Linked DNA regions of Oryzias latipes. The protein of the gene in region 1 purifies or fractionates together with the protein of each later gene. This does not show direct contact. Links are inferred from orthologs where the notes say so. Each region holds a gene or a part of one and is shown on either strand. Other genes may lie near its edges.

The links.
Region 2: the proteins of polr2f (region 1) and polr3c purify together in Homo sapiens (affinity purification with mass spectrometry; 3 studies listed by BioGRID and IntAct, with this or other methods). This does not show direct contact. The link is inferred for Oryzias latipes from reciprocal best matches to the Homo sapiens genes POLR2F and POLR3C.
Region 3: the proteins of polr2f (region 1) and rprd1b purify together in Homo sapiens (affinity purification with mass spectrometry; 4 studies listed by BioGRID and IntAct, counting the BioPlex papers as one, with this or other methods). This does not show direct contact. The link is inferred for Oryzias latipes from reciprocal best matches to the Homo sapiens genes POLR2F and RPRD1B.

What each region holds. Positions count from the first base shown.
Region 1 is NC_019866.2:19,810,673-19,821,304, reverse strand, and holds polr2f (DNA-directed RNA polymerases I, II, and III subunit RPABC2), read right to left. Parts: upstream 6,381-10,632; 5' UTR 6,246-6,380; coding exon 6,226-6,245; intron 6,085-6,225; coding exon 6,015-6,084; intron 5,905-6,014; coding exon 5,774-5,904; intron 4,408-5,773; coding exon 4,336-4,407; intron 4,250-4,335; coding exon 4,159-4,249; 3' UTR 3,928-4,158; downstream 1-3,927. Other genes in the region: MICAL-like protein 1, read right to left, coding at 7,933-8,057, 8,144-8,190, 8,276-8,390, 8,496-8,569, 8,651-8,741, 8,857-8,983, 9,205-9,318, 10,228-10,439 and 1 more. UniProt on the Homo sapiens protein: DNA-dependent RNA polymerase catalyzes the transcription of DNA into RNA using the four ribonucleoside triphosphates as substrates.
Region 2 is NC_019874.2:18,837,593-18,848,224, forward strand, and holds polr3c (DNA-directed RNA polymerase III subunit RPC3), read left to right. Parts: upstream 1-3,967; 5' UTR 3,968-4,086; intron 4,087-4,963; coding exon 4,964-5,110; intron 5,111-5,437; coding exon 5,438-5,702; intron 5,703-5,858; coding exon 5,859-6,148; intron 6,149-6,252; coding exon 6,253-6,357; intron 6,358-6,789; coding exon 6,790-6,963; intron 6,964-7,051; coding exon 7,052-7,103; intron 7,104-7,203; coding exon 7,204-7,264; intron 7,265-7,350; coding exon 7,351-7,501; intron 7,502-7,804; coding exon 7,805-7,906; intron 7,907-7,990; coding exon 7,991-8,040; intron 8,041-8,128; coding exon 8,129-8,278; intron 8,279-8,363; coding exon 8,364-8,448; 3' UTR 8,449-8,620; downstream 8,621-10,632. Other genes in the region: E3 ubiquitin-protein ligase RNF115, read right to left, coding at 747-1,030, 1,171-1,225, 1,394-1,452, 3,797-3,874; itga10 (integrin alpha-10), read right to left, coding at 9,263-9,316, 9,407-9,520, 9,914-10,009, 10,093-10,200, 10,276-10,383, 10,470-10,583. UniProt on the Homo sapiens protein: DNA-dependent RNA polymerase catalyzes the transcription of DNA into RNA using the four ribonucleoside triphosphates as substrates.
Region 3 is NC_019865.2:7,642,671-7,653,302, forward strand, and holds the start of rprd1b (regulation of nuclear pre-mRNA domain-containing protein 1B), read right to left. Parts: upstream 7,127-10,632; 5' UTR 6,652-7,126; coding exon 6,501-6,651; intron 5,179-6,500; coding exon 5,049-5,178; intron 4,952-5,048; coding exon 4,818-4,951; intron 3,737-4,817; coding exon 3,618-3,736; intron 2,334-3,617; coding exon 2,207-2,333; intron 248-2,206; coding exon 72-247; intron 1-71. UniProt on the Homo sapiens protein: Interacts with phosphorylated C-terminal heptapeptide repeat domain (CTD) of the largest RNA polymerase II subunit POLR2A, and participates in dephosphorylation of the CTD by RPAP2. Transcriptional regulator which enhances expression of CCND1.

The DNA.
Region 1 (10,632 bases):
CCCCCAAACAAAAAACAAAAAAAGAGAAAAGCACAACTTTCCTTCCTGAAATGAAACCAGGAAAGAATCATTACACAATAACACATTGCCAATCTTTTGTTGTTCATGACATAAAATTAAAGATTATAACTCAAATGGATGAATAAATCCTGAAATGGTTGTTTTGGCAAGAATTTGTCCACTTTGTTCTCAGAAAACCACAGTTACCTAAACTCAAACAGATCTGTTAAAAAGGAAAAAAAATCAAAATGTATCAATATTTTAAGTAACAAATGTGCCTTCTGTAGAAATCCAGACAAACTAATGAAACTATGACAAAATAACCAAAGCATTGAGACCAAAACATGTTTTACTGTTATAGGATAGAAACAGATTTTTAAAGATGTTTCTCCCAACATGACACTCAAAGCTACCTGGTAGTTCGTAGAGATGTTTTTTGGATTAGCCAAAACATTTTCAGTAAAAGTTATTCTTCTTTTATCAGAAAGTTTTTACTTTATCTTATCTGAAGTTTCTTTTCCTTCTTTTAGTGTTTTCTAATAAAATCTTCAGACTTTTATGTACTTATGACTTGAGAAAACTTTATTTTGTACTCACAAAAAACAGTGAAGTTTGACTAATAATATTTGTATTTTAAGATTTGTTAAAGAAAAACTGGGATCTCACAGATTACTATTAAAACATTTTGCCATTAACTTCACTTATTGCTTCACCACTGTCTAATTTTTTACTTTTTTTGGGTAAAATGTTAGCATTTTGCTAATTTTAAGATTGATTCATTAAAAAAAACGGATTTCATACTTGTATGCTGAAGGAGATGCCAATATTTTTGAATGACTTGCCACACGTGAAGATAATTTCAGATTGCATTAACGAAGTGCCTTGTTCTTGACAATTTACTTACATGTAATTATATTTCATTCTATTGTGATGAAAATCCTTCAAAATCTACATTAAATATTATTCTATGCCATATTTAAACTGCTCGCTATGTAAAAGTATAACAATGCTTTGTTTTCTGTCATGCTAAGACTGGACTGTAACTTTAAATTGAAATGTTTCTTTTTGTTGCTCTGAGCTTTTTCATTTCCTATTTATAATTTTTTTTGCATCTATTTGTGTAAAAAGCATTTTTTTTCTTTCTCTTTGATCTAAGCTGCCATTTATTTTAATAGGAACAGTGGATTTCAGTCACAGAGTCTGTAAATAAGAGCAGGAGCAAAAGCCTGAACATGTGACGATGACTCTCACTTGAAATAAAGTTCTTCTGTTTTTTTGCCTGTTCAGATTTTCCTGCAGTAAATTGAATTGGAACATCTAGAGCTGCAAAGCTAAATTATGTTTTATTATAGCTTTCTTTACAGGCAATATATTATTATTTATGACCCCAGAGATCTAGGTAAACATGCAAAATACAGTTTAGAGATTATAATTATAATTTCTAGTAAACTGGGAGAGAGGAGCAATGATGGGGACAAACTGGTGCAGATTCAGTTTCCCTTGACCTCACTTGAGCCTCCAGCCTTCTCGGGGTGGGGGTTCAGGACTTGCTATGGAAGCCTGGATGCATATTCCAGATTTCTGCCGTTATGCATACATGTATGTGTCTCTGTGTTTGGTGCAGATTAGGCCTGACTCCTAATTCCCTCTCTCTTTAATCGGCTGTGTGATACTTTGGAAAAAACAAAGAGGACCATTGATGGGGGAGGTGAGGGAGAAGGGAATGAGGGCAGGGAGGGAGTCTAACCCCATAACTGCCCGCTCTGTAGCTTCACTGTCACACAAAGCGACCCTTACTGTGTGCAACTCTCACTACTCTTCCTGTTGCACCCTCTCACCGTGCCACTGTGGTAAATAAACACAGTTCAGACCAAATTCTGGTCCACTAAGCTTCTTTTGAGAGTAAGAAATGCACGAAAGATAAACTAAAATGATCTTCAGCAGCAAAAACAAACAAAGTCATCCTTTTATGACTATACAGGAAAACAAAGTCAAGACAAAATGTTAACTTAGGATGTCAGAAACCATGTATTGCTCCATACTAGAATTTAGGCACGACAGAGGAGGGGCGATGGTTTGGGCTTGTTTGACAGGACTTCAAGTCCCAGATTAAATACTTTGAATTCACAATTCATTGAAAGATGATTTTTTTTGTCACAAAATACTTTTAAAAAATAAACGACAGAATTGTGTTTTTTTTTGTGTGTCACTGCACATTTGAATTGTGTTAACTTGATCATAAGACCCAAAGATAAGGACATTTTTTAAATATAGTCTAGGGCTCACACATATCGACTATTCAGAAAAAGAATGTATAACGCTGACGTTCATGCAAGGTTTGAAAAAATGAAAATCTTTGGAAGATTTCAGGTGCTGAAAAACTGTATTCAAGGAAATTGAGGCCTGAGGTATGCAGATATTTAACAGAGAAAATGACCCGATAAATTCATAGGCAAAGCGATTCACTTTCCCCACAATTCGGTTCAAACCTCACTTTTTGGGTGACAGTTTTGTTTTCAGTTCAATATGCTAATAGTGCATGGCAAAACAACAACAAAAAACTAAAAAAATCGACTTTATAATTAAATAAGCAAATAGTAAAAAGAAAACCTTTCAGCTGGTTCATAGTAACCTTGGTGTGATGTAATAAACACTGTTAAATATATTGAACTTAGCACAACACACTTTCAACGCAAACATGTGTAAATGTTTGCAGCAGTGATGCAACAATACATTTTTCCACAACGTAGTTCAATGGTTTAACATAGGGTTTGGTTTTTAACTGAGAATCGTAGCATCACTACGTTCCTTACAATACCAAAGCAATAATCATAACAGCAGTTGGACATGAAAGGCTTTTTAAAAGTAACGTGTCTCAATTCTTTTTTGGATGAAAGAATAAGAATGCTACTTAACCCCTTAACGTATATTTGATACAAACTTGGATCTAACCACTTTTACTCCATATTTACCTTAATTTCTTCTACTTGAAAGCAAAAAATGTTTTTTTCTTCCTTTTTTGGAAATAAACTCAAGGAGTTAAGCTATTTATCCCTTGTGCTATCCTAGGCACTTTAACATTGGGAGTTGGGTCATCTAGACCCACTACTAAACAGTGCTCTGAACCCTTTTTCTTCAATGATTTGTGATCTTCACTGGTGTCCATGGATTACATGAAATCTTTCCACCTTTATCCACCTTTGTCATGGTAGGAATAACACGTCAAAGTAAGGGTGGGGTCATCTAAGATAGCACAAGGGTTACATAAGCCAATTTCAATTTAGTTTATGCTTTTGTACTGAAAAACATTATTAGACAAAAATTATAACTAGCATAATCCTGACTGCTATGTTTTACAGTTGTCAATATTTTTTTTCCTGCTGAACCTTAAATAAAAGTTTAAATAATTTAAAGACTAGTACATTAGTACTAGTGTGAAAATTGAGACACCAAAAATGTCACTTTCTTGAGGCTCATATGAAAACTAAGTCGCAATTTTTGGCATCAAACGGGGCCTCAGAGCTGGGCTGAAAATAGATTCTCTTCGGGCAGAAAACTCAAGAACAAGCCCTTCTCCCCTGAGCACTGGTTTTTCCTCCAGCGCCGCGCGTCTCTCTGCCAGGGCAAACACTCCCTTTGAACAATGCCGACCTGTTGAGCTGCTTCATTCACATGGTTCCGTGGATAAACTCAGAGAGAGCCTCCGTCTGTTTTCTGACGGCTTCACCAAATCCACAAGGGCTGTAGCCTCAAGGAAAATAAAGACCCGCTGACATCAAAGCTGCATCAATCAAACACCACATGATTCTTGAAGTTTAATCAACTGATTTGGTTCTTTTTTTAAATGACCAAAACTGACCATTTTTTCCCTGACTATGACTCATGCTGACATTAAAACTTTAATAATAACAGTCAGAAACCGTGAAATTATCATAAAAAAAGACTTTATTTATAACAATAAAACAGATGATCTCTGATCAAAATCAACACTTGGAATACTTACAACAAAAGTTCAGTTTGTTAAAAAAATGTGTTTAAACAAAGTTATGTCTCCCCCTACTGGCTCATGCTTGCAAAGCAGGTTTTAAAATGACTGCATTTGCTGCTTCTGTTTGGTATCATCGAAGCTCTGAAGTTCAGCTGAAAGTCCAGGTTTGTTTAGTCGGTAATGATGAGCTCATCACAGCCCCAGTCCTCGTAGCTGCCGTCGGGGAGGTACCTGCGGATGATGATGGGGATCTTTCTGCTCCTGTTCAGAACAAACGGCAAACATTGAGTTACCAGGAACAAAACAAGATGAAAGAATTTAGACAGAAATGGAATAATCTGATGTACTTTAGTTCCTTCATGGCGATCTGCAAGGGGTCTGTTTCTCCCTCCAACTCGACCATCACAGGAGCGCACATGCTGTCGGCAGAACAACGACAAAATCCTCAAAATAAATCCCAAATTGAAGTAAAATGTCATTATTTTAAAGCCAGAAAACAGGCGGGGCAGAGGATTCATGGACTGTTCATTCACACACACACTTTTCAAACCAGTGTGTCCTTAAACGGCCCAAACACAAAAACACAGAGATGTCAACAACCAGGTTCAAACCCAGAACCTGCCTTCAAAGCTGCAAAACTGAGAAATGTAATTCAGTGTCATTTTGACAAAATGAGATGCAAAGATTTTTTTGTTTGTCCCTGAAACACGTGATCTGCAGCAACCAGTTGGGACCTCGTGATGGGCCCATAGCACAGCTGGGGGGCTTTTCTCTAGCTGGGCCAGGGCGTGCATTCTCCATGCTCCTGTGACTCCTTGCTCTTTGGTGCTGGGGACTATTTCGGCAGTCCCTCCTCTGGTATGGATGGCTGGTATCGGGTCACTGGGGTGGTGGATTCCCTCCTGGCTGTGGTGGTCCTGGCTGCCGCTACTGCCTCACCTCATTCTGGGGGGCTTGGTGTGGGACGACCAGGTGCTCCCCCCCTTTTTTTTATTCATTACGCTTCATACCATCATTGTCCACAGTAGAACACAGACAAAAAAACTAAGCACCAATGCCCACTCACCTTGGCTCAGAAAAGGACTTTTGTATGAGATTGTATCTGCTTTTATGCAAATGAAGGTGCATATTTATCTGATCTCTATCTGTGTTGTGTACATGACAATATGCAAGAGTGAAGGTTTTTGAGGGCAACAGGAATGTTTATAATATTCAGTGTGTGCGATAAACATAAACATCTAATTGTGAAAGTTATAAATAACCTCTAGCAACGTTTTGTCTCTTTTTGTTTGCAATGGTGTGTTTCTTTGGTGACTCTCCAACTTCTATATGTCCTTTTCTATCTTGTCCCCCCCATCCCTAATATCCCACTATCCTTCTCCGTTTTCTCCGGTCCAAAAAGGAATGGACACAAGTCCATCATTTTTCTAAAACCGGCCTATTGTAGATCAGGGTCTGAAGGAGCCTATCCTAGCTGTTTTGGGGCAAAGATGGGGTACATGCAGCATAGTTCAATAAGCACAAATATTAATAAAATAAAGTTAAGCCTCAATACAAAAAGGTTTGTAGTGACATAAACCTCCTCTGCCCAAAGCTTCAAAACTCCTATGGTAACATTACAATCTGTCCAACACCAGGGGCCTTCAGCTCTCATCTGTTTGATCAGCTGCTCCACACGACAAATTAGCAAAATAAAATAAGAAGAACAACAAAGCCACAAATGTTTGGAAGCCTAACTTATTGGTTTAGAAGAGTAAAGCGCTTATTTTACAGTAAACAACTCACGCTATTTGGAGGGCTCGTGTTCCCAGCACTCTCGCTCTCTCATATTTGGTCATGTGCGGTGTTGTAATCCTTTTCTGGTTAGCCTGCTGCCCCTCTCCTGCGGGGAGGATCTGTACGTTCTCCTGGTCCTCCTGATGATCATCCAAGGAAAACAAGCATCTGATTAGACTGCCAGATAGAAATCATGAATAATGAACCCCAAATATGATCCACTAAATGAAAAAAGTGCAGACGAACATACATCTTCCACGTTTTCCAGATCGTCTAATCCTTCGTCCTCATCGGCGTCCTCAAAGTCTCCATCATCAAAGCTGCAAATGTTGACAAAAACTGTATCAAAGACCGAAAACGGTGAAGTCGTAACCTAGCTTAGCTAACAGGCTACACGCTAAAATAGATTTAAAATTAACATATACCATGACATTATTTGATGAACATAGATCACAACTTACTTGTCTTCGTTATCAGACATGTTTTAACTTATATTTTTTCCAATATAGATACTAATAGAGTTTATTAGCAGCAAATTTAATTTAGAGGCTAAACCACATTGAGCGTTGTGGTCTCTAAACTTCCGGTGCGCGTGTACGCTGAAAAATTATGTCCGGCTTCTCAACTAGAATTTCTTTTTTTGTCCTACCTTTTTCTAATTCAATTTAAAAACAAGCAAACAAATAGTATATAAAAAGCTTACTTTCTATTATAGTCAAGTATCCTAAACAAAATAAACTTCAACTAGAAATAAATATAAATCCATCAAACTATGGAAAACCAAGGCTGTACCTTTAGAGAAAAAGAAGACACCAAAATGATAGTTTTCAACATTTATTTTAATGTACCCTTGAGAGAAAATGAATACTAATAATTCTTAATTTTTTGCCCTGCATTTATAGAAAACGAGTAACAATGGCATGTCACTTAGTGCAAAGTTAAAGAACAGAATTGGGTCAACCGAATGCGAAAAAACATTCAGAGCTAAGGCTGGATTCTGTTTTTTTTACTCTTCATCTAATATATTTTCCTACGTGATCAAATGAAAAGATATTCACAATAAACAACATAAAAATGTTTTTGCAAGTGCTTTCCTGTCTTATGTAAGAATACTCATTGCAAGAAGTAGTCTATTTAAGTGTACTACAAGTATACTTATAAATGTGAGGCAGTATACTTGACGTTTATTTTTTTAAAATATAATGTCAAGATAAAATCTAGATATTGTAAACTTAAAATTTCCAATTTCCAGTCTCAAGAAATATTCTGTTAGTATACTTCATCTCTACACTACATGAACATGGTCTTTAGTACAGCGTACTTGCTTTATACTTATATTCAAGCAAACTTAAAAAAATAAAAGCGTCAACTTTTTGCTAGGGTTAAGCTCAAACAGCTGGCACTTTGTCAAAGAACAGATCCATTTAGATTCTTCACTTATTTAATAAAATGTGTCTATACAAAAGAGATTTCTTTTAAAACAATTCTTCATTACCTATTTTATAAATATAGCAGTGGATGGGTAAGAATTTCTAAACACAAAAAGGAAGAAATGTTCACGTTTTTAACAACAAAATTAATCCTGTTTGTTGGTTACACATAAACTTTTTTTTTTCAAATATAGCCCAACTATGAAATATGCAATTGATTCTTTGTTAATTTAGTAAACAACAAGTTGCAATAATTTACAATAAAAGTGAACATTTGACAGGAGATTCTTGTCACAACCTTTTAAAAAAATGTCACTTGTAAAATTGCTCTCTTTCACAGTTTTCTATACATTTTCTGATGAACCCCTTTAACCAAATTACTAAAAAAAACTAAAAAGTAAATATAGCAAAAGATAGTGCAGGAATCTGCATGGCTGATTTTGTCTCAGAAGAAATCTGTAGGACAACAACTTTAAGCATTTTCTAGTGATGCAGGTTTGGAAAAATATTTTTCTTAAAACAGGGTTTTAAAAAAGTGGTAAAAAAATAACATCAGTAGGAATTGGTTTCTATTTCAAAGTACTCCGTTTTTCTCTTGCTGGACTTTGTAAACAATTTGAACAGAATGTGCCAAACAGACGAGAGCTCATACCAGTCCCTACATTTTTGGATAATCTAGATTCTCTTCTACAGATGAGAAACTAAATCTAAAATTGACCAGAATGTTCCTGCAGCTCTTCAGTCCTTTTTCCTCCCAGAGTCCTTTCTGCTCTCGGGTTTGTTGTTCAGGATTTTAAACACCTGTGCAGGTTTGAACTTTCCTTTTGGCTTCTTGAGCCCTTTCTCTCCTTCCTTCGGAAAATCTGAAGAGAGATTTTGTCATTAACAGCAGTGAAACAAAATTATCCTCAGCAAGACACTTTCAAGAGGGGATTGGTGTCACTCTCACCTCGGTTCTTCATTTTTTCTTCCAAAAGCATATCTTTGTCTTTATCCCTAATGAGAAAAAAGGAAAAAGGTGTATTTTCTGTAACTTCTACATTTTAGTGTCTGAGTATAAGGAAGCAGTATTTGCGTCAACCTCTGTTGGTCCTGATCCAAGCCGCTTATGATCTGATTTCTCTGCTCTATGATGGAGACCAGCTCATCCATCAGCTGCTGCTCACGACCCCGATCCTCCTGACTCCATTCACTCTCTGTTAAAACACATCAAGTCAAAGCCTTTCTCATTTTTCTGAGCCCAGTAGAGACGCTTATGGATTCTCACCTCTATTTCTGTCTGGGTAAAAGCAGACGCTAACCTGGTTTGTTGAGGAGACATCTGAGCTCATACTCCACATCTGCCTGCCTGTCCTCCAAATTCTGCTGCTTCATCCTCAAAGAACAAAGACAAAAGAAATGATTACACAAAAATAATTAGTAAACACAATTTCAAAGAATTTGCTGGTTCACTTACAAATAGACCAGTTCTGAGCTTTTGTGTGATATAAGTAGTCGTTCAAGAGTGAGGGAGAACCACTCTGTAAGCATTTTTTCCTCCTCTTTACCTGAAATGTAAAAAGCGAAGCAACTGAAATAGAATTTCTTGCAATTATGAATAAGCGGATAATAGCCAAAAACAAAAAAAATATCTGGAACGATAGCAGTGAAACTGAAGTTCACCTTTCCGGCGTGCTCTGAGAATCCTCTCCTGTTCAACTCCTTGTTGTTCCAGATATTCCAGTTTTTTCTCCAGCTCCTTCATCTGATTCTGCAGGTCATTCATGCACAGATCCTGGTCTGTTCTTACCTGAAAAAGTAAAAAAGAAACTCCACATTATTTCTGCAACAGCTGTAGCAAACGCACCTTATAAAAGAAATAATACACATCATTTTTTTAGGTCACATGGCCCAATATTATGTTGAAGAAGTTTTAAAGTAAGATTTCTGCCTTTTTTTAAACAGTGTGTCATCTTCCACATGGCTGGAAAATGCAGCATTGAGAGACTGAATTGGGATGCAGAAATGTACCTTCCTCTTAATGAGGGGGAAGCCGTGGCCTGGAGCTGGACCCCGACTGGATGAAAAAGTCTGGGACTTGGACATGTGAGCTTTTCTGTCAAAAGGATTTTCTTTACAGGATTGCTAAAAACAGAAGAAAAAAAAGTCAGATTAAAAAGACACCAAAATGTCAGTCTTATGATGAATGCAATTTTCACAGATTCTTCGCAGGATTCAAAAACCTTCTCTTTGGCATCTATAACTTACAATTCAATGGACCCAAGTCATGGAATACACATCTAGATCTGGTACATAACTCCATTTCTTTATCAACTTACAAAAAAACAAACAAAAAAAACAGACTTTTTTCCAAATATTTACTGTGATATTGTTATCAATGCATATAACATATGGATTTATAAAACGGGCAGAATAAAATTTTGTTTTGATTTGCGGCTCTATTGGCTTGTTTTGATAGTAATGCATATCTTGTTTTATATTCCTTGTTTATCTAGGGGTTGTTCTTTTTAAAAGCTTTATGCTTCTTCCTTCCACCTCCCTGCACATCAGCTTGTTTTTTTACGCTTTCACATAATTTTAGTTTTTATTTTCTTTATATACTGTGTCACGATTGGCATGTATGTGTCTTTTATATGTGCTAAAAAAAAAACATTAAACAGAATCTTGACTTAAAGACATCCCTTGTTATAATACTCCCACCACTGTGCTATAATGTGAGAGCTGTTCTAGGTAAGACATGCTATTTTTCACCGTAAAAAAAGCATTTTCTGCTCGAAATAGCTCTGAACAGAAAGGTCGTCGTCCTGGTATCAAATGTTCCCTTCAGTGCAGTTCTGATTGGTCGGTGCTGAGAAGAAATCCTCTTTGCAGTTATCATGCGATTTAAGTGCTGCAAACTATTGAACTAATTTGTATCAAACGTAACAAGATAGAGGCATTAAAAGAGAAATGTTCATTGTTATGAAAAATGTAATCCTTTCTCTTTTTTTTTTGGAACTATTTCTTTTGACAGGACAGATCTTATTCACTCACCTCTGATGTTCCAGTTTCAGCATGCTCAGATGTGACGTCAGGCACAGTGAGACTTCTGGGTAAAATACATTTTGGTGGTGAAGAGGAGTCTGGGCCTGGTCCTGCTTTTGTCCCATCTGACACTTCTGCATGCTTTATAACTCCAGCCTGTCCATGTGACTCCCTGTGGGTGTCATCGGCCGTCACAGGCCCCGTGGAATGAGCTCTATCTGCTGGAATGGAATCATCGTTCTGCTCGGTGACAAAAGCAGGTTCTTCGTCTCCAGCTGTAAGAACAACTGTTTTGGTCTGACTGGGAGATTCAGTCCTACCAGTTTCTGAAGTGTCCTCCACCTCTTCGTCTTCTTCTTCAAAAGGGTTGAGCGTCTTTTTCTTTGGTTCATTCCATGACCTGGGCGGATCTGA
Region 2 (10,632 bases), on another chromosome or scaffold:
TACTGACACACTATTACATGGTGCTCGAAAGTCTGACAAAATGTTTTAGTACGACTTTGGTAAACAATGAAAGACACACCGCTTGATGGATTGTTAGAACATTATGGGTACCATATTCAGGAGCCTAACAGAGTGATACGCACTGTCCTTCAATTGTTTGTAAATGTGTTGAATCAAGTTTGACTTTAAGACGATTTAGTTTAACATGTAGTTCAAAAAATACGTAACTTCTTAAAATTAAAAAGATTTTATTTTTCTTCAACCAGAAAGCCACAATGGAGAGGTAAAAGAGCCACATGTGGCTCCAGGGCCTCAGGTTGCAGAGCCCTGATCTAAACAGTCCTTTCTGGCATTTCCCGATGAAAAAAAACAACACTGTGGGGCCGGATCTCTTTTTGTTGCTGAGCAAGTAATGATTGATTCAATGATTTCTTAAAAAGTGCAATTTACAATCAAAAGTCTGAACAGGTTGCCTTATCTTGAGAAGCACACGGTCAGTGCTAGCTGATGAGGCTTCTGTCCAAAATAGACCAGCCGCTTATTTATAGTGTGCAGTACCAGACCACTTATGGAACGTAACACAGCATGTCTGGTGAGAGCATAACACGACTGACTTCAGCAGCCACAATCAACTTTAGAGCCCACATCAGAGCCGCTACAGGTGACTGTGGCTCGAAACACGGAGGAAGCAACACAACAATGGATGTTGTGTCAAAAGACTGAAAAGCAAAGTTAAACGAGTTTACCCCTCCACAGCAGGTGAGCGCTCTGGTCTGCTGCTGCCTCTGAACCGGTATCTCCTCTGGCTGTGAAGGCGAGGTGGGCGGCCTGGTCCGAAGTGTTCATTGGATCCTAACAGACCACCCATCTGCCCCCCGAGACCAGCTGGAACCGATCCCCCGATCGGTCCAGCCCCCAGTCCTCCGAAATCACTAAAACTCCCCAAACGACTGCTGGAGAGCCTTGGCTCGGAGTCAGGAGTGTCACTGTCTGTTGTAAACGGCCTCTCCAATAACAGGAGGTGCCACAGCTGTAGAGACGTTAGGATTAACAAACAGTTATGGAAAGGGACATGAAAAAAAAAAAAAAGACAGGGAGACAGAGAGATCAAAAAATGGGGGGAAAACTCAAAAATTAATCATAATTTAATATGATCAGAGTCAAACGTACCTCTGCAAACTGTGTGGCTGTGTCATCTATCCCATTTGCACCGCCGTCTAGAAGACTAATGAAAGCAACACAAACAGGGGAGGTACAACAATCTCAATAAACGCGTACTAAACTGATCAACTAAAAGGTCACGCTGGAAGAAGATTCAATAAACAGATAACTGACAGAGCAACAAACATGTATTCACTTTTAAGGTTCTGTTCCAGAAACAGAGGTCTCTTACCTGGAATCCTCTGTTACTTCCTCTATGAAACCTGAATCACATCTTGGACAGATGTATTCCTGCAAGAAAAAGAACAAGGACAGAGTCACGCTTATTTATAAAGGCTGAGGAAAAAAAGAGACAACTAAACATCGAACTATGGCCACATTTTTCATTTCAATTGGGTTTCAGCACATCAGAAAGAAAAAAAAGTAACATTTAGATGTAAAAACTTGGTTTTACATTTAGTATACATCCTATTGAAGATGCCAAACACAATACAAGTAAAAAAGATTCAAATGACAGTAGATATTTCAACACACCAATGTGTACGATGTTAACATCCTGGTTTAAGGGCTGTTGAAAGTACATTAGAAATACTATAAGCAAACATGTCCATCATTAAGACTTTCCAGTTAAATGTACTTTTAATTGTTTACATCTTAATATGTTGAAAAACAGACATTTTAAAAGCCTGTGCAACTGTTTTCATGAGCCAAACCATTTTTGGGCTTGTGTTTTATTAATGTAAAATACAACACATATCGTGATACTTCAAAGGATAATTGTTAAGAAAAATGTATGATGTTTTTTTTTTTTTGATTGGCTGATTAAAAGCATAAATAATGACTTTCATTTAGTGTTTCAACATATGAATGCAACCAAAGAGGTACGGCTGGTCTGCCAACCACACCTTAGGGGGAGGGCGTTCAAAACCAGCATGACAGCTTGGAGCAAACACAACCAGCAAGCAGCCTTTGCAGCAGGATGGATCATATGTTGTCCTCTCATTTAAAGATAGAGCTTTTCACTCAGGGGAACAGGATTGAGGTCACTTAGCATAAAAACAAAGTTGTAAGCCATTACGGCAACACCTGAAGTACAATACTTGTAGCATTAAAAAGTGGGTCACAACAATAATGTCTTTTTAGATTGTAGTTCACTCGATTTGGAGTGCTAAATATACAAATGAAATTCACAAATGTTCTTAAGGTTGAATTGAAAAAAAAAGTGACTATGAATTACAGAAATTATTTTGGTCAAAGCCTTTGAATTCAGATTTACTCACAAAACTCACACAATTACTTGTAATAAATAAATGTTATGTATTGTTTTGTTGATTTTTATAATTTACTTTATATTTCAGGTTTAAAAAATGTTTGATATTATCTTTGCAGTTGCTTGATCCAACACAGAAAAAGAAAATCACAAAGAGACAAGTGAGTAAATCCAGAATTAGTGACCAATTATCTGAAATTTAAAAATAATGGGGAGGCAATAGTCACAGCTCTGTTTCCAGTTTACTGGTCGATTAAACAAATAGACGTTTGGATGTTTATTTTTACTTTATGGCACAGTAAATCACAGAACCCTCCATCTCTGTATCAGTCTAACAGATTGCTTCTAAGAAGCTAACAGGTTGCACTTTTTAATTTAAACTTTCAGTCAAAATCTAGACACAACATAAAGCAGTGTTTCCTAAAATTCGGGTTATATAACAAAATTCATTTACTCAATACATCAGCCAGTTATAAGCTAAATTTATAAAACATGTAAGAGAACACATTCATGTTAGAAATTCAGATATTTCTGGTATTTATTTTAACCTGTCCAAATTTTTTCTTGTCCAAAATGAAATACTATAATCATTATCATCAACAAAATAACTTATATTTCAATGATTGAAAAATGTGTGTCAATTTTTATTTATTTACCAAGGAACATTTGTTTCAAAAACACAAAACGGAGTCAACAAGAGAAAAAAAACTACAAATAAAAAAACAAACACTTACAGTTAGTTAAATGTTTTTGTAAAAACGTAGGAATGTCCTTTTAAATAAATGGCCTTTTAAAGAATATTTGTAAAATAGTAATAGTAGGCCATTTAAACGCCTCTTCTGCCGACATTGTTACGTTTGACTTTAACACTAAAACTGAAAGTAAACCACAACGTATGACATCTACAGAAAACTTCCCCTGCTTATACTGCCACTGCTGTTAACAGAAACAAAAACTAAATGTGTATATATACTGAAAAGGAAAATCTGAGTGACAGTTTATGAATAAATAAACTCTCAGATTAATTCGGGCTGTTTTGTTCAAAAACATGCATCTATCATTTACCACCAAGCACACAACTTCTACCTTGAAGCACAGAGATTAGCGTAAGTATTTTAAAACAGGCACGAATAACAAGACCTACTATCGTTAGTTTTAAGAGTAGCTTAGTTTCCCCTAAAACGACTAACCGGAGTTTCTTTACTGACTTAACAACAACAAACACTGCTATATGCTAATAGCCTATGGGCTTAGCTGTAGCAAGAAGTAGCCGAAACAAACAGCTACCTGCCGGAAGGCAGACTTGTCAGCCGCGCATAACACTCAACATAAAATGAGCGAATAACCAAAAATAACGCGACTTACCGGGAGTTTGGGATTTACTTCTCCCTTACAACAGTGACAGAAAAACCGATGCGAGGGAACAGCCGCAGCCTCCGCCATCTTCCCGGAGCAGCACAAACACTGACGTCGGTCCTCCACTAGCTGAAGGGAGCTGTCCGCCCCCAGCCCGGCATGCACTGCGGCACTGTTGTCGAATCACAGCAAGCAAAAAACCGGGAGCGGAAGTGTCTGTTTGTTGTCATCGACTAGCCTCATGCGCTAAACTATCTGCACGGAGTCTGCTTTCATTGCGAGATCTGAAATCGAAAAAGGTTTGTGAAAAAAAAAAAATGCCAGGCTTATACCATCAAATATTCAGAGATAATTTAGTAAATTCCCAGCATGCAATTGTAATTTTACTATCCAAAAGCCCAAGGGGGAAAGAACTTGAACAACTGTTGACTTTTCAAATTAGAAGAGATAGTTTACATGCACTGTATGCTATAAGGGAAACTACTTAATGACCGATCTAACTTTTTATTTTTAGATTTTACCTGTTGGAATAAGTGGTGCCTGTTTTAACAAAGTAAAATACTATTATTGTTGTTTGTAGTTCGTAAACTAGATGTATAGAGATAACATAACTAAAAAAAGTGCTGTTTATTGAAAAACTAAACTGAACTAAAATAAAATTGATTTATTGTTTATATTGGTTCATGTTGAACGATCAAATCCGATCCGATTCACTGATCTAAAATCGATCCAGAACATCTTTAGCCAAGAATTCAACCAGTGGGACTCAGAAAATAAATACCTGGATTCTGAACAGTGCAGGGGAAGTTTTCCACATTCCCTGTATTTTTTTGCAACATAATTAAGTGTAAATTAAACATGTTTACAAACAAACAAGTAAAAAAGAATGAATGGACAGTTTTACCTACATTTTGCTGCCATTCGATGTGTTGTCTGTTTTAACGTTATAGTTAGAAAAAAAGCCTACTGTGCCTTAATCCAAATGGTATTTTCCAATATTGATAATAATTGATTTATTTCCTTTTAAAATTAATTCATATTGGTATAGTTTGATTCGATTAACATCTTGCCTCAGATGGATGAATCGATTCATCTTTACAGCCTACTAAAAGCACATGCATTAGTTCTTATTATTAACTTAGTGGTTTTCATTGAACTGTTGGTGTGTTTGTGCAGATGACAGCCCAGGAGGTCCGTCTGTGTGGTCTTCTGCTGCAGGAGCACTTTGGAGAAGTGGTGGAGAAAGTGGGAAGAAATCTGCTCAAAAGTGGAACGCAAAATTTAAGAGCCATTGTTCATGAAACTGGCTTGTCAGTGGATCTGGTAGGTCAACGCAAGACTGAGATTGCATTCGCTGTAGTCAGATGTTCTTTGAAAAATAATCAAAATTATTCATTATTTGAATTATTATTCAAAGCAAACGGTCACATATATTACTATGTCCCTTGCAATATGGCAAAAGTTAGTTCTTTAAAGATATTTGAACAATAAGAGAAACAAAATTATAATGTAATTATTCAGGTAATATATATTCATATTTGAAAACAGTTTTACCTGAAACTGATTGCTTATCAGTTTTTTGTCAATACAATACAGTGATGTCTGGTAATGTTCATGTACTTTAACAGGACTTCTTCTTCTTTCATCAAGGTAAAGAAGTCTCTGTGCGTTCTTGTGCAACATGGAGCCTGTTCGTTTATTCAAGGTCGAAAAGGACCGGGGAGCCCGACGGAATACAAAGCCCACTGCGATCGGGTACTGAGAATTCTGCGCTACCCACGTTACATATACACAGCCAAAACGCTGTACGGCGACACCGGTGAGCTTATCATAGAGGAGCTGCTGCAGAGGGGCCACATGACGATGAGCAACACAGTTAAGACAGTCGCAGACCGTCTAACTCAGAGTATGGACGGTGAGCATCAGAATCAAACAAAAGACTGTCCATAAAAGAGATGATCTGTTTTCTGAAGGTTTTTTTTTCAGTTAAGCTTTGGATTGAGGCCTAAAATATCGCGATCAGTAGATTCATTTTCTAATGAATACTTCCTTTGATGTTTTGTTGATACAGAGGGGTCGAGCATGGATTATGGTGAAGTGTCCGCCACCTTTTCCAAACTGGTAGAGACTCATTTTCTCCAGCGCTGTCCCCCAGCAGCAGGAGCAGGAACGACAGGGAGCAGTCAGACTGCCAATTCGACTTCTGCAGCTCCTGCCAGCAGCACTGCACCCACACCGGAAAGCTTCCCCGACTGCTACAGGGTTCCTCAAGTGACACTCATAGGCCGGAGCAAACGCTCGCTCGCCAGCGAGGAAGGAGAGGACCAAAGAAATGCGAAAAAAGCGAAAATGGACCCAGAGGTCAGAGAGACGTTTGTTAAAGCAAGATGTTCACTGCATATGCTAAGACTTCTATGGTTGTGACTTCTGTTTGTCTTCTCATAACTTGGATCTTTGGTGCTCAGACTCATGGGGATGAGGGGATTTACTGGCAGGTGAACTTTGAACGGTTCCACCAGCATTTCCGGGATCAGACTATCATCAGTGCTGTCGCCAACAAACTAGATCAGGTGGGAATTCCACAAAACATTTCAAACTAACCATTTTTTTTATTCATTAAAAGAAAAACAGGTTTTGAAAAATAATTGCCTAGAAAAAAAAACCCAAATACATTTCCTCAGTGTATAATTATTTGATGGTTAAAAGTAAAAATGAATAGTATTTGAAAACCCTCTTTGTATGGCTGAAGGAATTTAGCATAAGCATTTGGTTGTTTGATAAGACTATCTGACTTTGAAGTATTGACCTTAAAATCAAAGAAAATTCAAATTTTAAATGAAATAAAGTGATAGTTTTTGGAAGTACTCCTAATAATTCCTCTTTTTTCTTGGATTGTTCTCTGTGCTTTAAATACTACAGCTTTTTACATTTATTTCATTATTAATTATTTATTATTATTATTTATTATTAACTAGCTGTCTTCTCACATCTTTCCTACCCAGACCAGCAGTGAAATAGTGAGAACCATGCTGAGGATGAGTGAGGTGACAACCTCTTCCACTGCCCCGTGCACAAAACCCCTTTCAGCCAATGAGATCTTCAGGTCCCTCCCAGCTACTTACAACATCCCCCGCCATATATTGGACCAGTACCTCACTCTGCTGGTGGATGACCCTGTAGGTCCTCCTCATCTCAAATATCTCTCTGATTTTTGCTTGGCTCCCCACAAAATGCTCAAAAAGTTTCCCACTTTTCCTTCCTAAGATGGAGTTTGTGGGGAAGGCTGGGGAAAGTGGAGGAGGAATGTATATTGTCAGTATCCTTTCTGCTCACTTGAAGGTTCAAACCATCCCACAGGTGTGCGTGTCATTCGCTACTAAACCCAAAACAAAAGCTTTCCCTAACTTTTCTGTCAGATCTGAACCAAGCATTGGCTAACCTGGCACGGGCCACCCTGGAGTCCATCGTACAAGAGAGGTACACCAGTGTGTGTGTTTGCTCTCCACACATACGGTTGCTATTGGGCTCCCATTGTTAATAAGATACCTTTTATTCATCCTCAGATTTGGCTCCAGATCAGCGCGCATCTTCCGCCTGTTGCTACGGAAACGTCATCTGGAGCAGAAGCAAGTGGAGGATTTCGCCATGATTCCAGCAAAAGAGGCTAAAGACATGTTGTACACTCTGCTCTCACAGAACCTGGTCCAGCTTCAGGTACGTGGATGTAAAATGGGTTTAAAGAAGGAACTGGATGAAAAGTTTACGATTTGTTTTAATCATACACCTGGATCTATCCTAAGACTAATTTTTTAACCTGGTGGTGAATTTTAAACATCTGAGCTGAAGTTATTTAATCCAAAACAGCATTGTTCTGTTTACCAATGTATATAGATTTATTTAAAAATACATGTGTTGAGTTCTCAAAGTTTGAACCAAGCAGCCATAGTTCTAGTTTTTTCTTTTTTTAGTACAATTTTTATTATCTGTAATTATCTCTTTTTTAAATGTATCCTCCAGGAAATCCCCAAAACACCAGACTTTGCTCCCTCTCGGACCTTCTATCTTTATACCGTCAACCAGCTGCCTACTGCGAGATTGCTGCTACAGAACTGTTACAAGGTGAGTCTGAAAACAAACTGGGAGCTTTAGAAAGCTGGATGGAGAGCCACAGGTGTATTATTTCATGCCTGCTTTCCTCTCCAGACAGTGGCCAACCTTATGGAGCGGCGGCTGTTTGAGGCCAAAGAAAGCAAGTGGGTCTTTGAATCATATTTTTCCTTGAAGTTTTACAAGAATGCAGGTACTGCTATGCGCCAAATGTGAATTATGTTTGTTTTTTAGGCGCCTTCTGGAGAAATCGCAACGAATCGAAGCTATTTTGGCGTCTCTGCAGGCCAGCGGGGCCGAACCCGAACAGCTCACTGAAGTGGAAGAAATGATCACCGCTCCTGAAAAGCAACAACTGGATAGCTTAAGGCTTCATGTTAACAAGTAAGAGAAGACGACAGAAACAAAAAATGTATATTTGGCAAAGTTTTTTAAACAGGTTTTAAATTTTCCTTTTTTTTCTTTCCAGATTAGATTCAGCAGAGAATCAAGTGGATGAAACAATCTTTCTTCTGGAGTCCTACATAAGTTCCTCTACAAAACCTACAAGTTAAGTCAGATTTGGAAGAATGACTGACACCCCACATTTTACTTAAAAATTATTTGATTTTGTTTTTTTGTCACAACAGTTTTAGAGTTTACAGCAAATATGTTTCGGTTAGAAGTGGATTTAAATCTGATTGTTTTTATTCCTTGCAAATAATAAACACAACAGGAGGAACCCTTTCCAAATGTTTTTTATTTCCCATCATGAAACAAAAAGCTGTAGAACCGAGTGAACATTTGAAATATAAAACCATGAACAAGTCTGCAAGTTAAATAAAAGAACTGTGGCTTAATACATTTTCAAATTCCTTAAAATTAAACTAAGGTTATTTACAAACATTGGGGTAAAAAGTATTTATTAGTCACTGATTCTGCAAGTTAATGAGAAGCCTGTAATGTTTATCATAGATATGCTTCAACTGTGGGAGACGGAAAGTAAAAAAGAATCCAGAATTGTTTTTTTTTTTATAGAATGTACTTGAATAATGGTGCGTTTAATGTCAAATCCTACAGTGTGGTTTCCTGGATTCTTGTTCTGTTTCTTAAAGTTGAAATGAACTTACGATGAACATTACTGATCTCTCTCATCATTTTAAGTGGGACAACTTGCAGAATATTCAAATACTTTTTTTGCCCGGCTGTAAGTGCCTCCATACTCTGGAAATAGTGGGAAGTGCATTTCTGTTAGACCCTTGCGATGCTCTTTTTTAGTCTTTGGAAACTCTGTTGCATCCATTTCCTGAATGTCTGTGCCTGGTGGGAGGCTCAAAGAAAAATCTACTTCCCTTGTAGTCCACAAGGCAAATCGCTGTTCATACAGATTCAGTCTTCAGGATTTTCCTCCTCTCCTCTGTGTTTGCGTGTAAAGAATCCGAGCTGACAATAAGGAAAAGAGCGTGAATGAATACGCTATCCTTTATATATTACACATATGTCTTGAACATCAAAGAGAGTTTGATGTGATACCTTCCACAGTATGAAGATAATAAGAGCCAACAGCAGCAGACCGCCTATGATGCTGCCGATCAGAATCCAGAGCGAGATGGGAATAGCTCTTCCCTTCAGCACCTCCAGTACAGTCTAAAGAGAAGTGTGGGAGACGCATGGGTATGTTAGGTACACTCTAACGTAGGGCTGGTGGTCTCTGCCAAAATATTTTAACCCTTGCGACATCTTTGCATATCCACTAATTGTTGAAATGTAGGTGAATATTGATTACGTTTTCAAATTTCCATCCAAAATAACCGCACAAGCTAACTAACTAATAAACAAAAATTGAATTTTCATTCTTAAAATAAGTAATTCTTGAATAAAAACCAACTGAAAACAGTTTTTATGCCTGAAAAAATACTCAAAATGACTTAAAAAGAAATTTGATTCATACATTTGATTCATTTATGTTGCATATTCTGCATATTGTTAGTAAATATGGATTTGATTAACTAATATTTTTAAACTCAGCCCGTCTCTTACCTCCCCCCAGACTGTTCCTTTTCCCAGAGTGATGAGGTTAGTCTCCTGAGCTGTGAGGCCATAGGCGCCTATTATCCTCATTGACTTATATTTTGCCTGAATACATAAAGAAAAGGGTCATGGTCAAAGCTGGAGCGACTGGAGAATAACTGAGTCACCTTATTTGTCATGTTACTCACTTTCCTGAAAAAATCCTCATGAACTCTGCGGCTCACTCGAATGATGACGTCCTCCCTGAGCTGCCGCACCTCACACACAATCTCCGTGCACCATGACCTGCTGCAGTTCTATGTATGGAAAATGGAGATTTCCCATCAGCTGCTGTTCAAGGGATTGAGAAGCGCCTGTTTTCTGGGCCTCACCAGGATTTCATCCTGCATCATGTCTTCAGGATGAAGTGGCCGCACTTCTCTCTGCCTGCTCTTCAGCTGCGCCACATCACTCATGACAGTACAGTTCACCCCTGAGGCCTGGGTGGGGGGGAATGAGCAAATGTCATGTCTTATCTGAGAGAAGTGAAAATGCAAATGCATCCTAAAAAAGAGAATCTGCTCACGTTGTTTGAGGAGACATCGGTGACAGTCATGAAGGTGCTGTCTCCTGCAGCTGCAGTGGGCAGATACAGCCGCAGCTCCAGGTTACTCAGCAAGTAACAGCCAAAATTCTGCAACTAAAATATAAAAAAAAAAATTGGTGGATACTTATGTCAATATTTGACA
Region 3 (10,632 bases), on another chromosome or scaffold:
ATACATATTTTGTACTTTTATATTAAAACTGACTAACAAAAGGAGTATTTTTCTGTGAAGTCTGTGTTTACCTCTAGTTTCTTCTCTCTCTCCATGAGCGCCTCCTTCTGGCTGCCGATATATTCCGTCAGCATTCGCGCCAGCTGCCTGCGGTCCTCCAGCTCTGCAGCCAGCCTACCATTGTACTCAGCCAGCAGCAGACAGGCTTCATCCACCGTCTTCGAAAGCTTGTCTGCTGCTTCCTTGTCTAGAGGAAAGTAAACAATTAGGTCAAAATTTTTTTGAAAAGATGCCGACGATTTTAAATCATTCTACATGTTGTTTTGTATTAGAAAACATTTATATTTAAAATAATAGCATATTAAATATGATCTACAAATATATATATATTTAGAGTATATGTATATTTAGAAATCGCATTTATGTTATGTCCATAGATTGCACCACATTTAATCTTAAATGGTTTTACATATTTGAAAATGAAATGGTGTGTATTCATATATGCCATATTTTTTGCGTTCCTTTTCATAGTTTCCCACTAATCCTCAGGAGTGACTTATGAATGAATTTATAAAAGAAAAATATTAGCCTATACACTATATTACCAAAAGAATTCACTTGCGCATCCAAATGATCAGAATCAGGTGTCCTAATCACTTGGCCTGGCCACAGGTGTATAAAAGTCACACATCACCAAATGCAATACAAAGCGTCTGATGCAGTGGTGTAAAGCACGCCGCCACTGGACTCTAGAACAGTGGAGTCACCTTCTCTGGAGTGATGAATCACACTTTTCCATCTGGCAATCTTATGGACAAGTCTGGGTTTGGAGGTTGCCAGGAGAACAGTACATTTTGGACTGCATTGTTCTGAGTGTGAAATTTGGTGGAGGCAGAATGATGGTGTGGGGTTGCTTTTCAGGAGTTGGGCGTGGTGCCTTAGTTCCGGTGAAAGGAACTCTGAGTGCTTCAGGATACCAAAACATTTTGGACAATTCCATGCTCCCAACCTTGTGGGAACAGTTTGGAGCGGGCCCCTTCCTCTTCCAACATGACTGTGCACCAGTACACAAAGCAAGGCCCATAAAGACATGGATGACAGAGTCTGTGGATGACCTTTACTGGTCTGCACAGAGTCCTGACCTGAACCTGATAGAACAACATCAGTGTGTGACCTCACCAATGCACTTTTGGAAGAATGGTCAAAAATGGTCAAACACACTCCTTAACCTTGTGGACAGCCTTCCCAGAAGAGTTGAAACTGTAATAGCTGCAAAAGGTGGACCAACATCAAATTGAAATCTATGGGTTAGGATTGAGATGGCAATTCAGTTCATATTTGAGTCAAGGCAGGTGAGCCAATACTTTTGGTAATATAGTGTATTTTTGTTATTTTCCCACCAAAAAACCTGTTGCCTTTTAGAGGCTGTTTCCCAGTTACAACCACTGGAGGGGACTGTAGGTGTGACCATCAGTATTTGCTACTGATAGTAATGCAGAAGAAGGGCCTTCCAATACAATCATGGATGTCTTTGGGATGTGTGAATCCCATTTCGCTGGGCTTAGCAGAGTTGATCAGCAGCGTTGCACTTTTCTCCTAAAAGTGCGACTTATACTTCAGAGAGACTTATATATGGTTTTTTTTTCCTGCTATATTATGAATTTTGTTTTTGGCTCCTGCGGCTTATACTCCAAAAAATAGGGTACTTATATGACCTGGACTGAAATGTACAAATAAATTGAACTAAACTGAAAGACGCTCTGGTCTGTTTCTAAACGGATGTCGACTGGCAAAAAACACCTTCCTAGGGGTCCGACGATAACCGCATCACCGTGTGGTGATGACTCATCACCGCATGTTTGTTTTTTTCTTTTTGAAAGTTACAGGATTGCGTTTGGTGTGTGATTTGAACTATGATAAACACATTTATCTTTGCTAATAATTTACTTTTTCTACAAGTCCTAAGTTCAAACTTAATATGCTTGTGGGGGAAAAAGCCTGCATCCTGCTGTGCAAGGGAGGGACAGTCCATTAAACATCATGGGGGATTTTTTGTGTGTGTCGGATTTTAAATTAACTGCTTGCCATGTTTCAGTACTTGTAATGTTTACAGATAATGTTAAATTAAATACACACAAACACGGGCATAAAAGATTTCATCTCCGCGGTGATCAAAAATCCCACACCGTCACAGCTCTATACGTACCTGTAATCTTTTCCAGCAGAGAAACGTCTTGAACCTCCTGTGGCAGCGAGGCGATCTTCTGACGCACGGCTGCATCACCTGAAGCAGCGTTCTCCAAGTCCTGTAAGGCCTTTACCAGCTCCTCTGTCTGAAAAGGTGAGACCGGTGAGAAGAAGAAACCGATTACCTTTTCATGATAAACATAACATTTTTAAGGGGTTATGAGGGAAAAGGCAAAAAGATTAGTTCTTTTGTTTATCCCTTTTCTATTACAAGAAATGAGGCTTCCATAATAGTAACACTTACAGAGAGATGATGCACATTAGGAACCTAAAGGTTTAGAAACACAGGAGAACAATCTACTGCAAATTTAAGAACTCATAAAATATACATGGAACAACAAAGATAAAATTAAAGCCATGGCTTGTGTTTATATATAAATTACTTTCAAATTGCTACTTGATAACCTTTTGTTTTTCTATTTTTTAGACACAAAACATGCTTTAGTGTATTATTTCTGTAGATGTTTAAAATGTGTTTACATCAGTTTGATATTTTAACCAGGTTTTCCAATCATTAAACAACAGCTCTGAGATTTTTGGAAGCAAACATATTTTTCAGTTTAAGGTTGTTTGTTGAAAACATTACATCCACCATCCTTCAACTTCCAATCACCCGACATGACTTTAGCCTTATTCAAAACTGCCCTTACAGGTGGATACAGGCTCTCTACAGGTGAAAAATGGGTCAATTTTAAAAATTTTAAGATGGTAGACTGCTTGGTGACCTCTTAGAGCCAAAATGTTCTTTTTATACGAGCATGCTGCAGGTCAGAGTGAGCACAAAGTAAGTGAGACGGGCGTGTTCTTTGGATTTTTCCTTATTTTTTTCAACCCCCTCCCACAAATCCTGCTGCAAGGGGCCCATAAGTGATGTTAAAGTGATAAGTGTATAGACTGACTGTCACAAATTAGGAAATCAGACGATCAGAGCGTAGTTTGTGTGGGCGTCCTACGGGCATATAACGTAGACACTGTACTGGGCCCTTGTTGCAAGGTACTTACTAAGACTAGACTGTCGTACGGTGCCCTTACGCCACACTTGCATAACCCTTACAAATACTTCCAGTACACTTACTGACAACGGTACATTCCAATTTCATGATGTCTGTCGAAACGGCTATACGAGCAGTAAGCACTGCAAGACACACCTGCGCTCCACTTTAGATGCAGCAGCTCTTCTCCACAAGCCTCTATGATCCGGACAACCCCAAAACCTGGAGCACTCATGCAGGCCAACCCCGAACAGGGGCATGTGACTACATGATCGTTTTCTCATATTACTTCCAAAATTGAAGTCAAAATCAAATTTGTAACGTAGGTTTATTTTTGATTAAACTGTGCATGTATGTAGGAGGAAAGGTCATTCTTACCAGCTGAGTGGCAGATGCCTCTGTGCTTCGCGGAGAGTTGTGACTTCTATAGTCGTCATCATCGTCTTCATCGTCTTCCTGGATCTTCTGATAGCTTCGTTTCACTGCTCTCTTATCCTCTGTTTCATCAGACCACAGCAAATAGGAAATCTTAGGTCAGCAAGATAAGACTGGCTCAAAAAAAATCGATTTAAATTGTTCATTTAATTTTACATGAAACTAAGACATTTATATCATTATTTTAAAAAAGAAAAACAGGCACCTTTGTAACACGTAAATATAAAATGCACCTCAAACTAAATTCTTGTTGGAGAACAATTTTAGGTTGTTGCACTTTTAATTGCATGTCATAAATCATCTTAAATGTGTGCCATTTTTAAAAAGTACATGATTGCAACAAATCATGATTAAAATGAAAGTAATAAATGCATAAACCAAACTGTTTTTTTTATCAGTTTTTCATTAAAAAACAACAGTTTTCTCCTGTAATTTGTTTTCATCTTAAAGTCCCATTACAGTCATCTTTTGATCTGTTTTTAAAAGCGTTCCCAGAGGTCTTTTAATTATGATTTATGCCGTTTTTAGCGAAAATGGAAAAAAAACTTGTCGTTTTGTAGGACATAGCTTCTGCAGATCAGCAGGAGTTCATCAGAAATTTGCCTCCGAGTTGTGGGCGGGAATGTTGGAGCAGGGTAAGCCTGCGCTCATTTCCCATCATCCCTTTGTTTACAATCTTTGACGCTAGCTCACAGCCCCTCACAATCACATCCTAGCATTAGCATTAATGGCGGTCAATATAGGAACAATCCAGCCGTACAGTTTTGATCACGATCCCAGCTCAGACGAGGAAAACAAAGACGTACATGGATCTATTTGTCTGTAAGTGGATACATCAGACTGGAACAGAGCAGGGCAGAACTTGCAGCTGCCTCACTGCTTCGGGCTTTTTCAAACTGCGTTTTTCCGTCTGCACCTGATTCACGATTTGAATAAAGGAATACTCAAAAAAGCAGTTTTAATGCTAATTTTCAGAATATATGCGTCCTCTTTTATGAGAAAAATGCAAAATATGTAAAAAACACCAAAAATGCTTCTTTTTTGTGTGGGGTGGGTCTTTAAATCAGAATATTTTGGTGTCTCTAAAGATCTCATTCATTTTATTACATGTATAAAAGTCATTGCTTGTAATGGTTGCCTAACCTGAGGGCCTGGGGCTGTTCGAGTCCTCTATGGCAAGCTTGAGCTGCTGAATGAAATCACTTCTGTAAAGGCTCCTCTCCTTCCAGATGTTTAGAAGTCTTTCCATGGGCCTTTTGCAGTTTTCATCTGCTTCTCTGTGGAGAGTCAACAAATCAGTAACAGGAGCAGCGAACACACAAACAAATGGGTCTAAGTCTATTTTTGTGACGTTTTTGTAACTGGGAAACAGACCTGGCAACATGGGAGCATGCATCCACGAGTACAGACTCAAAGTCTTTGGTAAATTCTGGTCCTTTCTTCTTGCTGTTTTGGATAACATCATTTGCCAGATAAAGAAAAGTCAGCTTCCGGTTGCTTTTAGCTGGAAAAAAGAGAAAAAGCATTTTTACACAAGTATATTTCACTTTTTCCAGTTATCGTTGATGCTGCATTACTGATCAGTCAGTCAGTTGCTAGACAGTAGAGCCTGATAGGTCTGGTTTGGTCACATTGAACAAAAAAGTAGAGAAATAAAACCATCCGATCATCTTTTGATCCATTCTTAAAAGGTTCCCAGTGGTCTTTTGTTTATGATGATGTCGTTGTTAAGCCAAAATCCAAATACCCGTGTCATTTTCTAGGACATAGTTTCTGCAGTGCCAGTAGATATTCACCTCTGAGTTGTGACGCGAAGGAACACCCCCCCTTCCCTACCATTGCTGAGAGTTCTCTGTTCATATGCTCTCCAACTAGCTAACTACCCGTCACACCCCCAGCTATCCAGACGTACAGTTTTAAGCCACATGCCAGCTCGGACGACTAAAACCTAATCGCACATGGATCCAGTAGTCTGTAGATGCATCCCAAAGGAGCGGCACCACCCACTGTGTAAGAGAACTGGACCGAGCAAGTGTGACGTCAATTAATTGAAGTCAATTCAGTTCCCATTTTTCCATGACACAGACGCCACCATTCGGAGCCAGACAAGGTTAGCGAGCAGTGATTGGTCTGAATCTGTCTCTATCAACGTTATTATGTCAACTATTGTCACCAATCAGGAGTGAGCTTGTTGGAAGACCACACCCTTTCCGCTGAAAGCAGGCTAGTCAATGAAACATTTCAAACTTTTGAGGTGGGGGCAAGCAGGCAGGGCACCACATGCTTTTGTTGAGGCATCTGATTGGCCAGTTTATAACTTGAATAACTTTCACTACAGGAAGAAAAAAGACCATGACCATGTTTAAAAAAAAAAAAAAGGTAACAGAGCAAGGATGATTACTTTGACAAATATAATGACTGAGTAATAGCTGTTTATTTCTGTACAGAAGTCTATATTATCTTGGCTTCTTGGAGCCAGAGGGTACTTCCTGTTTGGAACGCCAGGAACCACTGGCTGAAATTAAAATACTTATTATAATTATTATTATTGATGTTTCAAAGGAACTAAGACCTAATGTTTCATGTCGGATATTAACACAACATATTACTTGGTTATTACAATTCAAAATGAATAACAAATGCATATTATTTTCATGCTAATTAGAATTTTTGTTCATAAGTTGTTTTTGCTTTACCCTCTACGTAAAAAAAAACGAGTGAGTTGGTTTCTTTCACGATGATCCTTATGTTTTGTTTATTCTTTTCAAAATAAAAGTTCCTAATACAACTTTAGACACATGGCTGGCTGCAGGGGTTAGCTCTTACCTTTCTTCAGTTCTCGGTGCCACACTTTGACGATGAGACCCGAGTGTTTGCGGTGGTGGATGATCCACAGGGACAGCGTCTGGACGCTCTGCTGCGAGCTGCTCAGCTCCGACAGTTTCTTCTCCAATGCCGACTCGGAGAAGGACGACATGGTATGCCGACGAGTGTCCCTGCTCGCTCTACAACTGGCCTCGACCCTCTCAAATAAAAAGCTACGGAGCTCCGCACTGCTCCGAAGAAAGTCGCACGCTCATCAAACTGAAGTTGTCTTGATTGATTTAGACATATGCAGCATGAAACTTCCTCCTGTAAACAACCTCCGTAACGAAACTTCTGAGTAGATCTCCAGGGAGCCTATTCTTGTTTGTTTACAGTGCTTGCTAACGTTAGCAGAACAAGCTAAGCAGCCTCCGCGCGGAGACCCAAATCGAAAATAATCTAGGCTTTTAAATACCTCCCAGTTAAACAAATTCACTTCTCGCTGCTGTATTTAAAAGAAAATTTCACGTTAATATGAAGTGAAAAATTGCACTTTAGCTTTGGAAGCCTGAACTAATTAAAAAAAAATGCTCATCGAAAAAATGGCAGCTTGCACTTTCAAACCGACATGTGCGTCGCACAGTGATGACGTAAAAAGAACGGCTCTTTCTCGTAGATATATACCTTTCTATTATCTACAAAAATAAAACCCCTAAGCGATTAGTTCATATGATGCATTTGCTTGTAAAATGTTTTTAAGGTAAACTATTGCTAATTACCCTGGCATGTTTTGCTCTATTATTATTATTATTATTATTATTATTATTATTATTATTATTATTATTATTATTATTAGTGTTGTTGTAGTTGTTACTCACCTTTATTTAACCCTATGAGAATAAAAATCTCTTTTAGAAGGGAGTCCTGCCAAAAGGCAGGCACAGTCCGTTTACAACTAACAGACACATTAAAAAATAGAACAATAAAAAATTAAGACACTAGGACAATAAAAGCATAAACCATAAAACAGTTGATGGTTTTAAACATAGGGAATATTTATGGCTAGAGATGAGAAAGAAACATTTTGCATAAATTACGGAATCTGATGCATTTGTAAGGCTTTAGCACCCTGTCCATAATTACAGTAGTCATTATTTCCATAATATTATCTCAGTAGCAGACAGTACAATGTACTAACTATAATGAAACCTGAACTCTGACCATAACATTGCTTTGATGATCAACAATCCACATAAAAATTGTATCAAGATTATTAAAGGGTGAGAAACATTAAAAAGGCCGCATCACAACACACTTAATGTTGGCTATAGGGACATTTTGTTGAAAAATACATGAGACTTAATTTGTGGATTTATTCAAGCTTTTGTTGATGCCAAATTCTGCCAGATATCTGTGCTGGGTTATTAACAGACTGTTAGAAAGCTAGTTACCTCAGTATGAGTGTCTTATGCAAAATTCCTGGACAAACACAACAATTAACAAAATAATGTGCATGTTTTCAACCAAATGCAAAATATTCTTACTGGAATCCAAAGAACAAGTTGATTTCCATGCGAATTTGCCTCAGTGATACTGTGGCTGAAAAAATGCACACTATTCCAGTCAAAATCATGGGTTTGGGATCTGGATGCAGGTGAGCACCAGGCAAATAGATTGCCGGTCTTAGGTGTGCTTAGCAAATTGAGGCTCAGATGTCAACCAAAATTCAAATTCAATCTCTCGTACACAGACAGATTTCATAAAACATTTTAGTGTGTGAGCAATCAATCAATTTTTGTGCCCTTTCACACACAGGACATGTAATAATGCATTTATATATTAAGGTGCATTTTATAAGTAAAGTTTGTTGTTGACAACAACCTAATTTAGATAAAAAATAAATGTTGCAAAAAGGAGCAGATAATCATGAAACAAACTTTCGAACAAATTGACAAAGGATTTATAAAATTCTAAGAAAAAAGAAAAGTAGCTGATAAATACAAGGCTGAAATGACAACAACTTTAGAAACACAGAGACATTTGAAGATGCTTAAAGGGAGTGATAGCTCCACTTAAGGCTACCTTAAAAACAAACAATTTCATACATGATTCAAAGCAAGCAAAATATTGCTGCTTTTAATTAAAATGTCAGCATTATCAAATATGATTACAAAGCCTGTGAAGAGCAAAACGACATGACATAGACCAAACAGCTTCATGCTCAACATCAAAAAAGAACAAAATGAAGAGAGAAAAAAAAACACTGAGATTAAAAAAACAAAGCTAGCAGGGTCAAAGCTAAACAATAAAAAATAACTTTTATACTATAAGCTGAGAAGCAGCAGCAATTAGAGCCCATCCTGTTGTTTGAGCCTTAAGTACCACAAGGAGGAGCCAGTCTACAAGATTTAAGAACACCAGTAAAAAGAAAATAAGAAAAATATCTAGATTATTCCAATTTAGTTTATTTCAACCATAATATAAAAATAACAATAGATACATTTATACATTTGCTGATAACTATAGTCAGTTAATTAAAAATAGTCTCTTTTTGACAGAACAATAAACATGTTTGAAAGAGAGATAGGCCAAGGCTGAAGCTTGTTGAAGCCTACACCCTTATGCTGTTTCAAATATGACAACAAAAATACATCAACAAAAATCCATATATTGATATCATCAATATAATGATCTGTCTGAAGATTTGTCAATCAAGCATTTCATTATTATCACATCATCACAATTAAATGACAAATACCCAGGCAAATAATATAATTTTCATGGGGCTCAGACATTAACAGAAAAATCACTGTTATCCATGAGTGATTTAATTTAAAAGCGGAAAAGTTTTTTATTTCTATTTATTTTTTAAATTGACAAAGGTTTGGAAATGGTTTTTCTCTCTGCTGTTATACATTCCAAATTTTTGATCAGATTACAGTAATGCAGACACGTTTTTATTTTGTTCTAACAAATTCTGTGATTCCTTTAATCTGTATCCTCCTTTTATAAAAAAAAAATTTTGAAGACACAGCTAACCAAACAACACAACTAAACATACATTCGTCCAACTTTTGACATTTATATTTTTGAACAATTAAAACATCAGTATTAGTTGGAAAAGTCTTTATAATACTTCATCAAAACTTGTAATTAACCTTTCTAAGAAAATGCACTAAAAATTTTAAATTATTGAATTCACAACATGAAAAGGAAGTATTTGTTTTCTTAAAAGGTAGGTAGTTAAACTTGTTGTTGGCTCCACTGTTTTTATTTTTTTTATTTTTTTTAAAGTTTCATATTTTCATAAAACGTGATTGATTTTTAGACATTTCCCAATGTCAAAACTGTCTTCAGGTCCTTTTTATTGAACTAAGTAATTATTAGAAAGCAGTTAGTAAACAAAAAACAAGTTTGGCATCTTCCAGTACTTGCTACATTGTGTAGCTCAACTTTTTAAAATTTTGTAATTCAAGCTTCTTGTTTCTGAACACCACAATATAAACAAAATGAAAAAATGAAGTATAACTAAAAAACTATAAAGTAGAGAAACAAAATATTCAAAGATAGAAACCAAAACAGCCATTTAAAAAATACATTTAAGTAACAAAACAACACAATTTGCTTTGAATCTGAAAACCACAACTCATTTGAGTTAACACCAGTATTAAGGTATCTTGTCCCTGTCCCTTAAGGATTTATTTTGTGCCACTTATTTAAATGGGGAAATACATAAACAAATTTGTCATGCAAATATGCTTCTGGGAGCCATAATTTTGCATATAGATGCAAAGATGCTTTTTTTCTTTATTAGGCCTTCCTTTAAGAGCAACCCCCCCAGGGGCACTTCTGTGCAGTTCAGTTGACAGCAGAAAGATGTTTCAGTACATGTTCTTTTTCCTCGGTTGGCTGATTTTGCACTTAGCTGCTGGGGAGCTTGATTATATCTCTCAAGGTAAAGGAATGCAGTTACAGGGGGATTACTCATTGGCCGGACTCTTTCCCCTCCACTATACCAAAAACCCAAACAGCGGTTTTCCCGCTCTGGTGCCATGCGATCAGTAAGTCTTTCCAACTTCTAGTTTTAACTTTCCTTTCATAACCTAATGTGTTTAAACAAAACCGTATTCCAGGGGTCGACCCAACAAGCATG